3 linked regions of the Callithrix jacchus genome follow. The protein of the gene in region 1 interacts with the protein of each later gene in a pairwise test. Links are inferred from orthologs where the notes say so. Each region holds a gene or a part of one and is shown in the gene's direction. Other genes may lie near its edges.

Region 1 (3,244 bases):
GAACCTGGGGGTGTCCTACTCCCACTCGAGTTGTGGTCCAAGCTATGGCTCACAGAACTTCAGTGCGCCTTACAGTCCCTATGCGTTAAATCAGGAAGCAGACGTAAGTGGTGGGTACCCCCAGTGCGCGCCCGCTGTTTACTCTGGAAATCTCTCATCTCCCATGGTCCAGCATCACCACCACCACCAGGGTTATGCTGGGGGCGCGGTGGGCTCGCCTCAATATATTCACCACTCATATGGACAAGAGCACCAGAGCCTGGCCCTGGCTACGTATAATAACTCCTTGTCCCCTCTCCACGCCAGCCACCAAGAAGCCTGTCGCTCCCCTGCATCAGAGACATCTTCTCCAGCGCAGACCTTTGACTGGATGAAAGTCAAAAGAAACCCTCCCAAAACAGGTCAGTCCTGGAGGTTGGTGGATGCTCCTTGATTAATCTGGAAGGAGCTGATATGCTTAATTTCCAAATAAAATTAATAATTTTTAAAATAAAAGGCTTTTGTATCGAACTAGTGTTGTAGTGCATGAAGAGCATGGAGAGGGTGCCCAGAGGTGTTGGGGCAAAGAAGCTTCAGGGACTGGTGTGTTTTCAAGGATTTTATACATTAGGGAAGTAGGAAGTGTGTGGGGATGGTGATTGTGAAGGTAGTGGTCTGTTAATATCTCCAGGCTCCATTAATCACCGTCTGACCACGCTAATGGTTGACTTCAGGTTAACACTTTACACCTTATCACTCACCCTCCACAGCTCGATTTGTGTTGAGTTCTTGATCTTTCCTTTACCTGAGTGTTGCCACGAAGTGTGTAGGGGATTTCAAGTTGATTTAAAAATTTTTACCTTTCCGTCTCATGGCTTCCCACTTTGCCCCAGGGAAAGTTGGAGAGTACGGCTACCTGGGCCAACCCAACGCGGTGCGCACGAACTTCACTACCAAGCAGCTCACGGAGCTGGAGAAAGAGTTCCACTTCAACAAGTATCTGACGCGCGCCCGCAGGGTGGAGATCGCTGCCTCCCTGCAGCTCAACGAGACCCAAGTGAAGATCTGGTTCCAGAACCGCCGAATGAAGCAAAAGAAACGGGAGAAGGAGGGTCTCTTGCCCATCTCTCCAGCCACCCCACCAGGAAACGAGGAGAAGGCCGAGGAATCCTCGGAGAAGTCCAGCTCTTCGCCCTGCGTTCCTTCCCCGGGGTCTTCTACTTAAGACACTCTGACTACCTCCCACTGAGGCGGCTCCAGCCCCTGACCACAGCCCAGGCATCTCTTTGGGCTAGGACTTCTTACCCAAAGCACACGCTTAGCTTATTTTTCTTTCCATTTACAATGTCTTTCTTTCTGATCCTATCTGGGGAGCTCCTGGCCAGGATAATGTGTTTGCAGATAATTCTGGACCAGAGACTTGGTAAGGGTTAACACCTTAATCCAGATTGGGTGCCAGCATCAATTTTCTGGTGGGCCTTAACATCCCTCCTGCTTTTAGGAGAATTCACAGAACCTGCTGTTCCTTTCAGATGCCCTTTTGGAAAATAGTTCCCTTTGCCAACAGAAACATGTCAGAGGGAATCTTCTCATCTTTTTATCTAACTACATGTACAGCTCTTCCCTCCCTTGCCCTTGAAAGTAGGATGTAGTAAAAGGAGAGTCCAGTAGCTCACGAAGAAGAGATGCACTATGTGTTTACACAACTAATTCATCCCTAATTTAATTCAGTTTCATGTGTGTGAGTTTGCTGTTTGTAAATACTTTGTCCTGAGAGATTTATCTTTTTACAGATTTTCTAGAAATGTTTAGATTAGATTACTAAAACAGGGTGGGCAAACTCTCAAAACTGGTACAATTTTATATGTGCTTATAGGTGAAAGAACAAATTCCCTCATTTAAACCCAATCGGATGCCTCAGAGGGTAGCCTCAATTTGTTCTTACAGTTAAGAAGGCCTGCAGAGCACAAAGTTCAGAAACCAGGCTTCCCGTGCTAAGTCTCTCCTAATCCCTACCCCTTTCTTCTCGGGCCACCCTCCGTTTAAAATTTGTGCTGGATAATCCAGAACCTAAAAGTATTATTCCAACCAACTTCTTCCTTCCACAGTTATCTTAGCTGGATATGTTGTATTTTCAGCTCAATTGTTAATGTGATGGATGGCACAATGAATGTATATTTTGTGTGATTCGTGAAGTCTTTTGCATGTCGCACAATGTTTGATGTTCCCGAAGTACCACACTGAGTTCTATCAGTTATCCTTTGTGAGCCTATGATATTCTCCATTTCCTGTACAATCAAGAACAGCTCTGAGATTCTAGAGTGATATGATCCAGAGCAGAGTTTACGGGTTTTAGGATGTCTGTAATAAATATATATACAAGTTTCAGGTATGCTTAAGCATCCGTGTATTTGGCTGGGCTACAATTTGTTAATTCCTACATTGGCACATTTCATGTGGGAAAAGGGAGAAGGGTAAATATTTTCAAAGAGATGAAACTTTTCTTGAATAAAAGTTAATGTTTTCCATTATCATGTAGCTGAAACTCCCCCATGAGTATAATTTCCCTTAACCAATGTCTGTTTAATAGGTTGATTCTCTTTAAAATTACAGCTCCTTTATTATAATCAAAGCTCATAATGAAAAAAAAAGACTGGTGAAGAAATTTATGAAGCAGATTTATTTTTGAAACAAACATGGATACTTCCTGGGTCAAGTGCTAACCTTTTCACCTCCAACTGGATGTTGACGTATATATAAACAGAACTCCCTTCAAAAGCCCAAACTGTCTTCAGTCAGTCTTTCCTCACATCAGTGAACCAAGAGCTAAGAGATTCACATTTAATTAGCTCCAGTATAAAGCTGTTGTGAGGATGGGGCCCTCATTCTACTCCTTTTCCTTCTTTTTGGGTTGTCAGGCAGAATTCCAATATATTCCACCCTTTAAATGTAGTGTTTTTAGTAAACCCTTGCATCCCTTTCCCCATTCTTCCTGTCAACATATATCCCTTCCTGTAGCTCTTCCCCGCTTCTTCCCCATCTCTGGATTGCACATCTCATTTCCTTCAGACTCAGTTTTGATTTTATAGCCATCATGGCTGTAATGGATCCACAGTTTTAATTCCATGCCACATAACCCAGAAAAAAATTATTTTCTTCTCTGGGCTCAACAGGTACTTCCAGGTGAACTTGTGGAAGCTACCCTGAAGTCTTTCAATATCCAAGTTGTTTCTGACCAAGGCACATATCTGCTCTCAAAAGAGGA
Region 2 (3,684 bases), on another chromosome or scaffold:
TGCCTTGAATCTATAAAGCGGTTTTACGAAAGGAAACTCTTTAGTTTATAGACCCCAGCAATATACATCTCTTATCTTTGTGCACCCTCAAACCCAACAGAAGCTACCTGGGCATTAGTTACCTCTTGACAGAAAGGTATTCTATCTTTTCCTTTCTGCTTAATAATCTTACATTTATAAAGCAGTTTATAAATATGAAGTAGTGTTAGAAGTCAATTCTTGGCTTACTTATTGTCTAGTTGTCTCATAAGAAAATCAATGTAACTTATTCCACATGATGTACATAAAAAGCAAAATAACCCTTGAGTTTAAGTTTGGGTATGAGTTTTGCATCAGTTTCTAGCTAAAGAGTTGATTGCAATTAAAATAACTTTTTAAGCAACTTGGAAAGTTTGGGCCAACCACCTGTCTGTCAATTGCACAGCCCAAGATTGTCAAGTACTATTGCCTGTCACATGCCACTAATACAGAATTTTGCCAGGAAATCTGTTTATCACTATATGCTAAGCTGTATATCACTTGGATCATTTCTTTCCGTTTCGATTTAGGATTACATCTGAATTAAGAATACATTTCTACCTTTAGAGGGCACTCATAACATACGGCACCTAGACATTCAAGTAAGCAGCTCTACCAAGAATAGAAGATGAAAGATCTGTGGATAAGCTACTGATCCACACAGCAGATAATCCTGTTGCTTTCATTAGTGTAACTTTCCAAGGAGCCTCCCCACAGACTCAGAGCCAGCCCAGCATTAGCCGAACGAAGAGAGACAGAGTGGATCCTGTGCTAATATCGGCATAACCAGGCCACAGGACTCATTTGGGGCCTTTATTGTAAAAACATGCCCCAGCTTTCCCAAGATAGCCAAGAGTGCCTCCAGAAACATTTCTCCAGGCCGTCTATATGGACGCAGTTTCTGCCCCTGTTTAGGGCTCAGAGATATAACGCAGACATTCACCAAACCACAGAAAATGGAGACCCCAGGGCTGCGCCTGACTTCAAGGTAAGATGATCTCCACAATCCATGATCCTTTCCTGTCAAGGGAAGGTGTTTACTCAGAACGAATATAAACTATAGGCAAGCTTTAGTGCCGTTGCTCACTTATCTTAACGTTTGATCGAAAATGTTTTCAAACCAACCCCTAGGGAAATCTAGAACCTAGAAGGTAATTACCTGATCTATCTAATTTTCTCCTGTCTATACAGAGTCCCTTTACCAAAACAAATGATAGTTTATTGCTTTTTTGTTTGTTTGCATGTTTCAGGCTATAACACTCAGCAAATCTAGACAGATTTTGTGGCTACTGGTATTAGCCCTTGGGTATCTTTCGCCGATATAAATATTATATCCCATATAATAATACTGAAAGAAAAATTACGGACTGCTTTCTAAAATAATTCCTAGGAAAAAAATGATAAACTAATAAAGGAACATAAGAACATTAAAGAGCTAAGGGGTTTCCAAACTTTGATTTTTCCAAAATCAAAGTTTCCTGACGTGCATTTCCTAAGCACGTCATGAGTTTGTATCAGTAGGTAATCACATTATTTATGCAAAGAGTGACAGTTTTCCTGCTGGATGTTACACGTGTCTTTGAAGAAAATACAGTGTGAGCCTGTAAATCCTCTTAGCTATTAATAGAACTATCTCCTGAAAGGTTCCTTGGTGTAGAATACGGACATGTGTTAATGTCTAATGAGCAATGCGCACACTCAGAACTAAATGCTGCAAAACTACAAAACTGTTCCAATACTTTAACACCAGAAAATTCACCTGTTCTTGCCGTGGTTCATATTCTGATAATAATCATCATTTATTTGCAAATTCTTTATGTAATTCTCTAGATCTGCCCTTTCTTCTCATGTTATTTTAACCATTTGGCATTAGCGGAGGGGAAAAAAATAAAAATAAAAAGGGTTAACACAAATTATCATCTGAGCACTAGGAGTTTGGGAAACTGCAATGAAATGGGATGTAGTGACCAAGAGTCCCGAATTAATGGACATCTTAATGTCGGCAACACATGCAAAAGATGTTTCTGAAATACAGAACGTGGAGGCTACTTTGAGGAAACAGACAGCAACAACAACAAATACACCCACTGTGTGACGCGTATGTGCGCTGTTGTGTATGTATGTATGTATATACAGGCACGCACACACATATAATTTCAGAGTTCTAAGTGTGTTGAGAAGGTATGCTGTAAGTGGAATCAAAGACAAAATGCAAAAACATTTAAGAATCAGTATTGCACCTTCCCAGAATCGACCATACACGCCGGTGCTGAGCAGCCTAAGTTCCATCCTAACCTCACTGACCTGCTAATAGGCTCCAGCCTGCACAGCAGCAGCAAGGGAGAAATCCACTTGGGATGCTACTGGCTCTTTCACTCAGTTTTGCCTTTTGAAAAAAATCTTTTTATATTGCATCTGAATACAGAAAGAGGAAACGTGCCCTTCTAGCAAATGTAAAGGATGGAAACACTCAACTCATTTTGAGTCCGCAGATATCATTGAATCCTTACTAACTGCGAAACATTGGGCTAGGAGCTGTAGGAAATAAAGAGAAACAGCAAGATATGCTCCCTCCTTTCTGGAGACTTACTTTATATTGAGAAAGACAAGCATATAGCATATTATCAGCGTGACTCATGTTAATAATATAAGATACCTACATAACAATTGTACATTCAATCAGTAAGATATTAGGGAAGGAATATGATCAGTATAGGACAAGACGATTGAAGAAGCCTGGTGTTAGAATGAAAGCAGTGAAATTTAAGGTACATGTGAAATAAGGTCTAACAACATACATGTAGAGGCAGAGAGAGGGAACTTGGGCTAAAATGTGTCTATATGTCCGGGGGTCAGTGAGAAATTCTAAAAAATCCTCAACCTACGCCTTGCAGTTTATGTAACAATTACCCCCAAATGGATTATGGACTTAAATGTACAACTCCATGTGAAACTATAGAACTTTTAGGAAAAAAAATGAGAGAAAATATTTATGAGCTAGGGCTAAGCAAAGAGTACACAGACATCAAAAAATCATGATCAGTTCAAGAAAATAAACCAATAAATCAGACTTCATTAGAATTAAAAGCTTTTGTCATGCCAAAGACTGTTGAGAGGATGAAAGACGGCATACACATGGCAGGAAAATGCTTTCACCCTCATGTCTGCCAAAAGCCTTGAACCTAGAATAAAGAATTCTCAAAACTCAAGAGTAAAAGACAAAGAGTCCAACAAGAATCTGGGCAAAAGACATCAGCAAGCATTTTACCGAAGAGCTTATGCAGATGGCAAATCAATATATGAAAAGATAGGCAGCACTGTCAGCCGTTAGGGAGCTGCAAGTTAAAACCACAGGGAAATGTCAGTACACACCCAGCAGAATGGCTAAAATGAAAAAAATAATGGCTATAAAAATGGCTAAAACTGTGACACCAGCTGCTGGAAGGACGCAGAGAAACTGAATCATTCAGGCATTGCTGATAGGAATGTAAAATAGTATAGCCAGTCTGGAACACAATTTGGCAATTTCTCATAAGACTGAATGCACAGCTACCGTTAGGCGTCTATCCCAGAGAAAGGAAAACCTACATTTATATCAACGCTGTTTGCCAACGTCCACAGCGGCTTTATTTGTAATAGCCAAAAACCAGAAACAACCCAAAAGCC
Region 3 (3,750 bases), on another chromosome or scaffold:
AAGAGGAACACCCAGGCCCGTGTGGCCCTGTCTTAGGAGAGACAGCTGCTGGACCTCCCCGGCAGACACCTCCCTGCTGGCTCCCCTTTTCCTTTGGCCCTAGCTCCAGCTCCTTTCGTTCTTCCCAGTCCCAGTCTCCCCACAGTCTCTGTCCTCAGGGGCTTCCTGGCCTGACCTTGTTACCATCATCCCCCGCCCCCCAGAACTTCCTCGGCCTCTCTCCCGTTCCTCCTCGCCAAGGATGGGCATGCCTGCTGAGAAGTGTGGCCTAGATCCTGGAATTTTCCTGCTCAGCCAGACGAGATGTCTCCTAAGATTAGGAAGGAGGGTGCTGGGACGCCTGGGAGGATGGTGGGTGTGTGTGGGTGGGAGGGACAGGGAGGCAGGCGCCACCACCGAACCAAGATAAAGGAGGTTGGGAGTGGGCTGGAGAGGCAGAGGGTCTCTTGGGTGAAGGAAGGGGGTGAGAAAGCAAGAGGGGACATTGGAATGGGTCTGAGGATACGTTACAATGAGAGGGAGACACTGTCACTCCACAGAAAGGGGGTAACAGCAGAATGAGGAGCGGCCTCAGAGAGGAGGTAAGGAGGCAGGCTAGGCAGTGAGAGGCTGGCGTGGGGTTTGAGGGGTGCTGTGGACCCAGGCAGGGGGGAGATCCGTTGATGGGGCTTTCTTGTACATTGTCATCTGCAAGGGCAAGTCTTCATCCTTCGGGCGGGCAGAACAGAACCGGGTCCTCGCTCACTGAGCGGTCCAGGCCTCAGGCCTAGCCTCTGCCCCTCCCTGGCCAGAGTCTCCCGTCCTGGGCTGGCCACCGACCTCCTGGTCCAGCCGCCCTGTGGCCGCCGGCGGGGGGGCGGGGGGGCTCCGGGCCCGCCTCTCCTCCCCCTCTTCGCGCCCCCTGGTCCCTCCCCTCCCCCTCCCCCGCCCCTCCCTCCTCCCCTGCCCGGTCCCAGCCCCTCCCTCCCCTCCCCCACCCGCGATCCGGGCCGCCGCCGCTGGGCCGGACCCCCCGGGCTCAGCCCGGCCCCTCGCCGAGCCGCCGCCGCCGCCCCGTTTGCTGAGGAGGAGGCCCCCGGCCGGGGCGTTGGGCGCGAGGCATAAAACGGGCCGGAGCCGGCGCCCGGGGCAGTAGAGCCGCGTACGGCCCGGGTCAGTGCCCGCCTGCCTGCCCGCGCTCCTCCCTGCTGCTCCTCCCGCCCCGCCCGGCCCGGCGCCGACTCTGCGGCCGCCCGACGAGCCCCTCGCGGCACTGCCCCGGCCCCGGCCCCGGCCCCGGCCCCGGCCCCCTCCCGCCGCACCGCCCCCGGCCCGGCCCTCCGCCCTCCGCCCTCCGCCCCCCTCCCTCCGCCCGCTCGGCGCCCTCCTCCCTCCCGCCTCCCCAGCTGTCCCGTTCGCGTCATGCCGAGCCTCCCGGCCCCGCCGGCCCCGCTGCTGCTCCTCGGGCTGCTGCTGCTCGGCTCCCGGCCCGCCCGCGGCGCCGGCCCTGATCCCCCCGCGCTGCCCATCCGTTCCGAGAAGGAACCGCTGCCCGTTCGGGGAGCGGCAGGTAGGTGGGCGCCCGGGGGAGGCGCGGGCGGGAAGTCGGGCTCGGGCGCAGGTGGCTCGGCGCGGCTGGCGGCCGGAGGGTGGGCGGGGGCCGAGGGGCGCGGCGCCCGGGACCTGGGACCCGTGGGCAGCCCCAGGGGCGGCACACGGCGCGAGCAGGGCAGCGGCCGCCAGCCAAGCCCGTCCCCGCAGGCTGCTCCTTCGGCGGGAAGGTCTATGCCTTGGACGAGACGTGGCACCCGGACCTGGGGGAACCCTTCGGGGTGATGCGCTGCGTGCTGTGCGCCTGCGAGGCGGTGAGTACACCCCGCAGCCGGTCCGGGCCCTGGCGGGCGGGTGGGGAGCCCCGGGGTGCGCGGGCGTCGGAGTGAACTCGGAGCTGCCGAGGAGGAGGCCAGTCGGCAGAGGTTGGGGGGCGGTTTCTGGTGGAGGAAGAGGAACCGGCCCCTTCAAGTCTTAGGTGCTGACTGTGACTGATCGCCCACCCTGCGCGAGGCTCTGTGCCAACTGCGTTTCGTTCCCTGCTCACCTAACTCCCCTGGCAGCCTTCCTAGATAGACAGTATTATTATTCCCATTTTCCAGACGGGGACCGTGAGGCCCAGAGAGGTGAAGCAGCTTGTGTAGGGTCACGAAGCTTGCAAGTGGCAGAGCTGGCAGACTCTGCGGGACATCCTTGCCCGGGGGTCTCACCAGCTGGCATCTTGCACTCACTTGGTTTTCCCGCCTTTTCCGGGAGCAGCCTCAGTGGGGTCGCCGTACCAGGGGCCCTGGCAGGGTCAGCTGCAAGAACATCAAACCAGAATGCCCGACTCTGGCCTGTGGGCAGCCGCGCCAGCTGCCGGGACACTGCTGCCAGACCTGCCCCCAGGGTAAAGCTTGCTCCGCCCTGCGGGGAGGGCTGCGGGCCTTGATGCTAGGTCCCGAACCACTTGGATGGGGCGGCAGACTGGCCTTTACCACGGGCCCGCTGAAGCCCGTGCTCCCCTCCCGCTCCACCCCCGAACCACCCCCCCACCTCTTCGCAGAGCGCAGCAGTTCGGAGCCGCAGCCCAGCGGCCTGTCCTTCGAGTATCCGAGGGACCCGGAGCATCGCAGTTACAGCGACCACGGAGAGCCAGGCACTGAGGAGCGGGCCCGTGGTGACGGCCACACGGGTAGGGGGCTGGTGGACATTGGGGTTGTGGTTGAGGCTGGGCCACCAAAGCAGCGTTTGACAGTGCTCAGGCCATCTTCCTCCTGTCCCAGACTTCGTGGCGCTGCTGACAGGGCCAAGGTCGCAGGCGGTAGCACGAGCCCGAGTCTCGCTGCTGCGCTCTAGCCTCCGCTTCTCCATCTCCTACAGGCGGTGAGAAAGGGGAAGGAGCAAGGAGGGGTCAGCTGCCGGCCGGCCGGCCGGGAGGGAAACTGGGAGAGCCGGGAGGAGGAGCTGCTTTTGGCTCTGACCGGCCTCACCCGACCTCTCATTCCCAGGCTGGACCGCCCCACCAGGGTCCGCTTCTCAGATTCCAATGGCAGTGTCCTGTTTGAGCACCCTGCAGCCCCCACCCAAGATGGCCTGGTGAGATGATGCCATTTGTGAGCACTGGTCCAGTCTGGGCACTGTGCTGAGAGCATTCTCTGCATTGCCTTCTGTGGTCCTCACCACAGCCCAGTGGGAAGAAGGCACTGACAGGATGATGTCCATTTTACAGACAGGGGTACTGAGGCTCAGTAGGAGGGTGGGATTCTTGGAAGTACACAGCTAGCAAGTGGTGCAGCCAGGGCTGGAACCCAAGCATCTGGCTCCGGGGTTCTTTCTTAAGCTTCCTAGGGCACCCTGGAGGCTCCTTCCCATGTTCCTTTTTCACCAGGCCTTGGCCTGCTAACTGGCCTAGCCAGCGCAATATCTGAGCGTAGGGCCCTCTTGTCTATGCTCCAGGTCTGTGGAGTGTGGCGGGCAGTGCCTCGCTTGTCTCTGCGGCTCCTTAGGGCGGAACAGCTACATGTGGCACTTGTGACACTCACTCACCCTTCGGGGGAGGTCTGGGGGCCTCTCCTCCGGCACCGAGCTCTGGCTGCAGGTAGGGAGCACAGAGCCCCGGGTGTGGAGCTCCAAGTCTTCTCTGTCCCCAGGAAAGGGGAGGGAGGTTTCTGACGGGCTCTTGTCATCATCCCTTCCCCAGAGACCTTCAGTGCCATCCTCACACTAGAAGGCCCCCCA

What was found.
Region 2: the proteins of HOXA1 (region 1) and RGS20 interact in binary tests that used the Homo sapiens proteins (3 or more experiments, as listed by UniProt). The two-hybrid records come from large-scale screens. The link is inferred for Callithrix jacchus from reciprocal best matches to the Homo sapiens genes HOXA1 and RGS20.
Region 3: the proteins of HOXA1 (region 1) and CHRD interact in binary tests that used the Homo sapiens proteins (3 or more experiments, as listed by UniProt). The link is inferred for Callithrix jacchus from reciprocal best matches to the Homo sapiens genes HOXA1 and CHRD.

What each region holds. Positions count from the first base shown.
Region 1 is NC_133512.1:31,001,738-31,004,981, forward strand, and holds the end of HOXA1 (homeobox protein Hox-A1), read left to right. Parts: coding exon 1-401; intron 402-872; coding exon 873-1,204; 3' UTR 1,205-2,645; downstream 2,646-3,244. UniProt on the Homo sapiens protein: Sequence-specific transcription factor. Regulates multiple developmental processes including brainstem, inner and outer ear, abducens nerve and cardiovascular development and morphogenesis as well as cognition and behavior.
Region 2 is NC_133517.1:807,095-810,778, reverse strand, and holds the start of RGS20 (regulator of G-protein signaling 20), read left to right. Parts: upstream 1-739; 5' UTR 740-844; coding exon 845-1,006; intron 1,007-3,684. UniProt on the Homo sapiens protein: Inhibits signal transduction by increasing the GTPase activity of G protein alpha subunits thereby driving them into their inactive GDP-bound form.
Region 3 is NC_133516.1:13,356,831-13,360,580, forward strand, and holds the start of CHRD (chordin), read left to right. Parts: upstream 1-1,392; 5' UTR 1,393-1,401; coding exon 1,402-1,549; intron 1,550-1,740; coding exon 1,741-1,844; intron 1,845-2,289; coding exon 2,290-2,419; intron 2,420-2,575; coding exon 2,576-2,704; intron 2,705-2,795; coding exon 2,796-2,895; intron 2,896-3,020; coding exon 3,021-3,108; intron 3,109-3,468; coding exon 3,469-3,610; intron 3,611-3,712; coding exon 3,713-3,750. UniProt on the Homo sapiens protein: Dorsalizing factor. Key developmental protein that dorsalizes early vertebrate embryonic tissues by binding to ventralizing TGF-beta family bone morphogenetic proteins (BMPs) and sequestering them in latent complexes.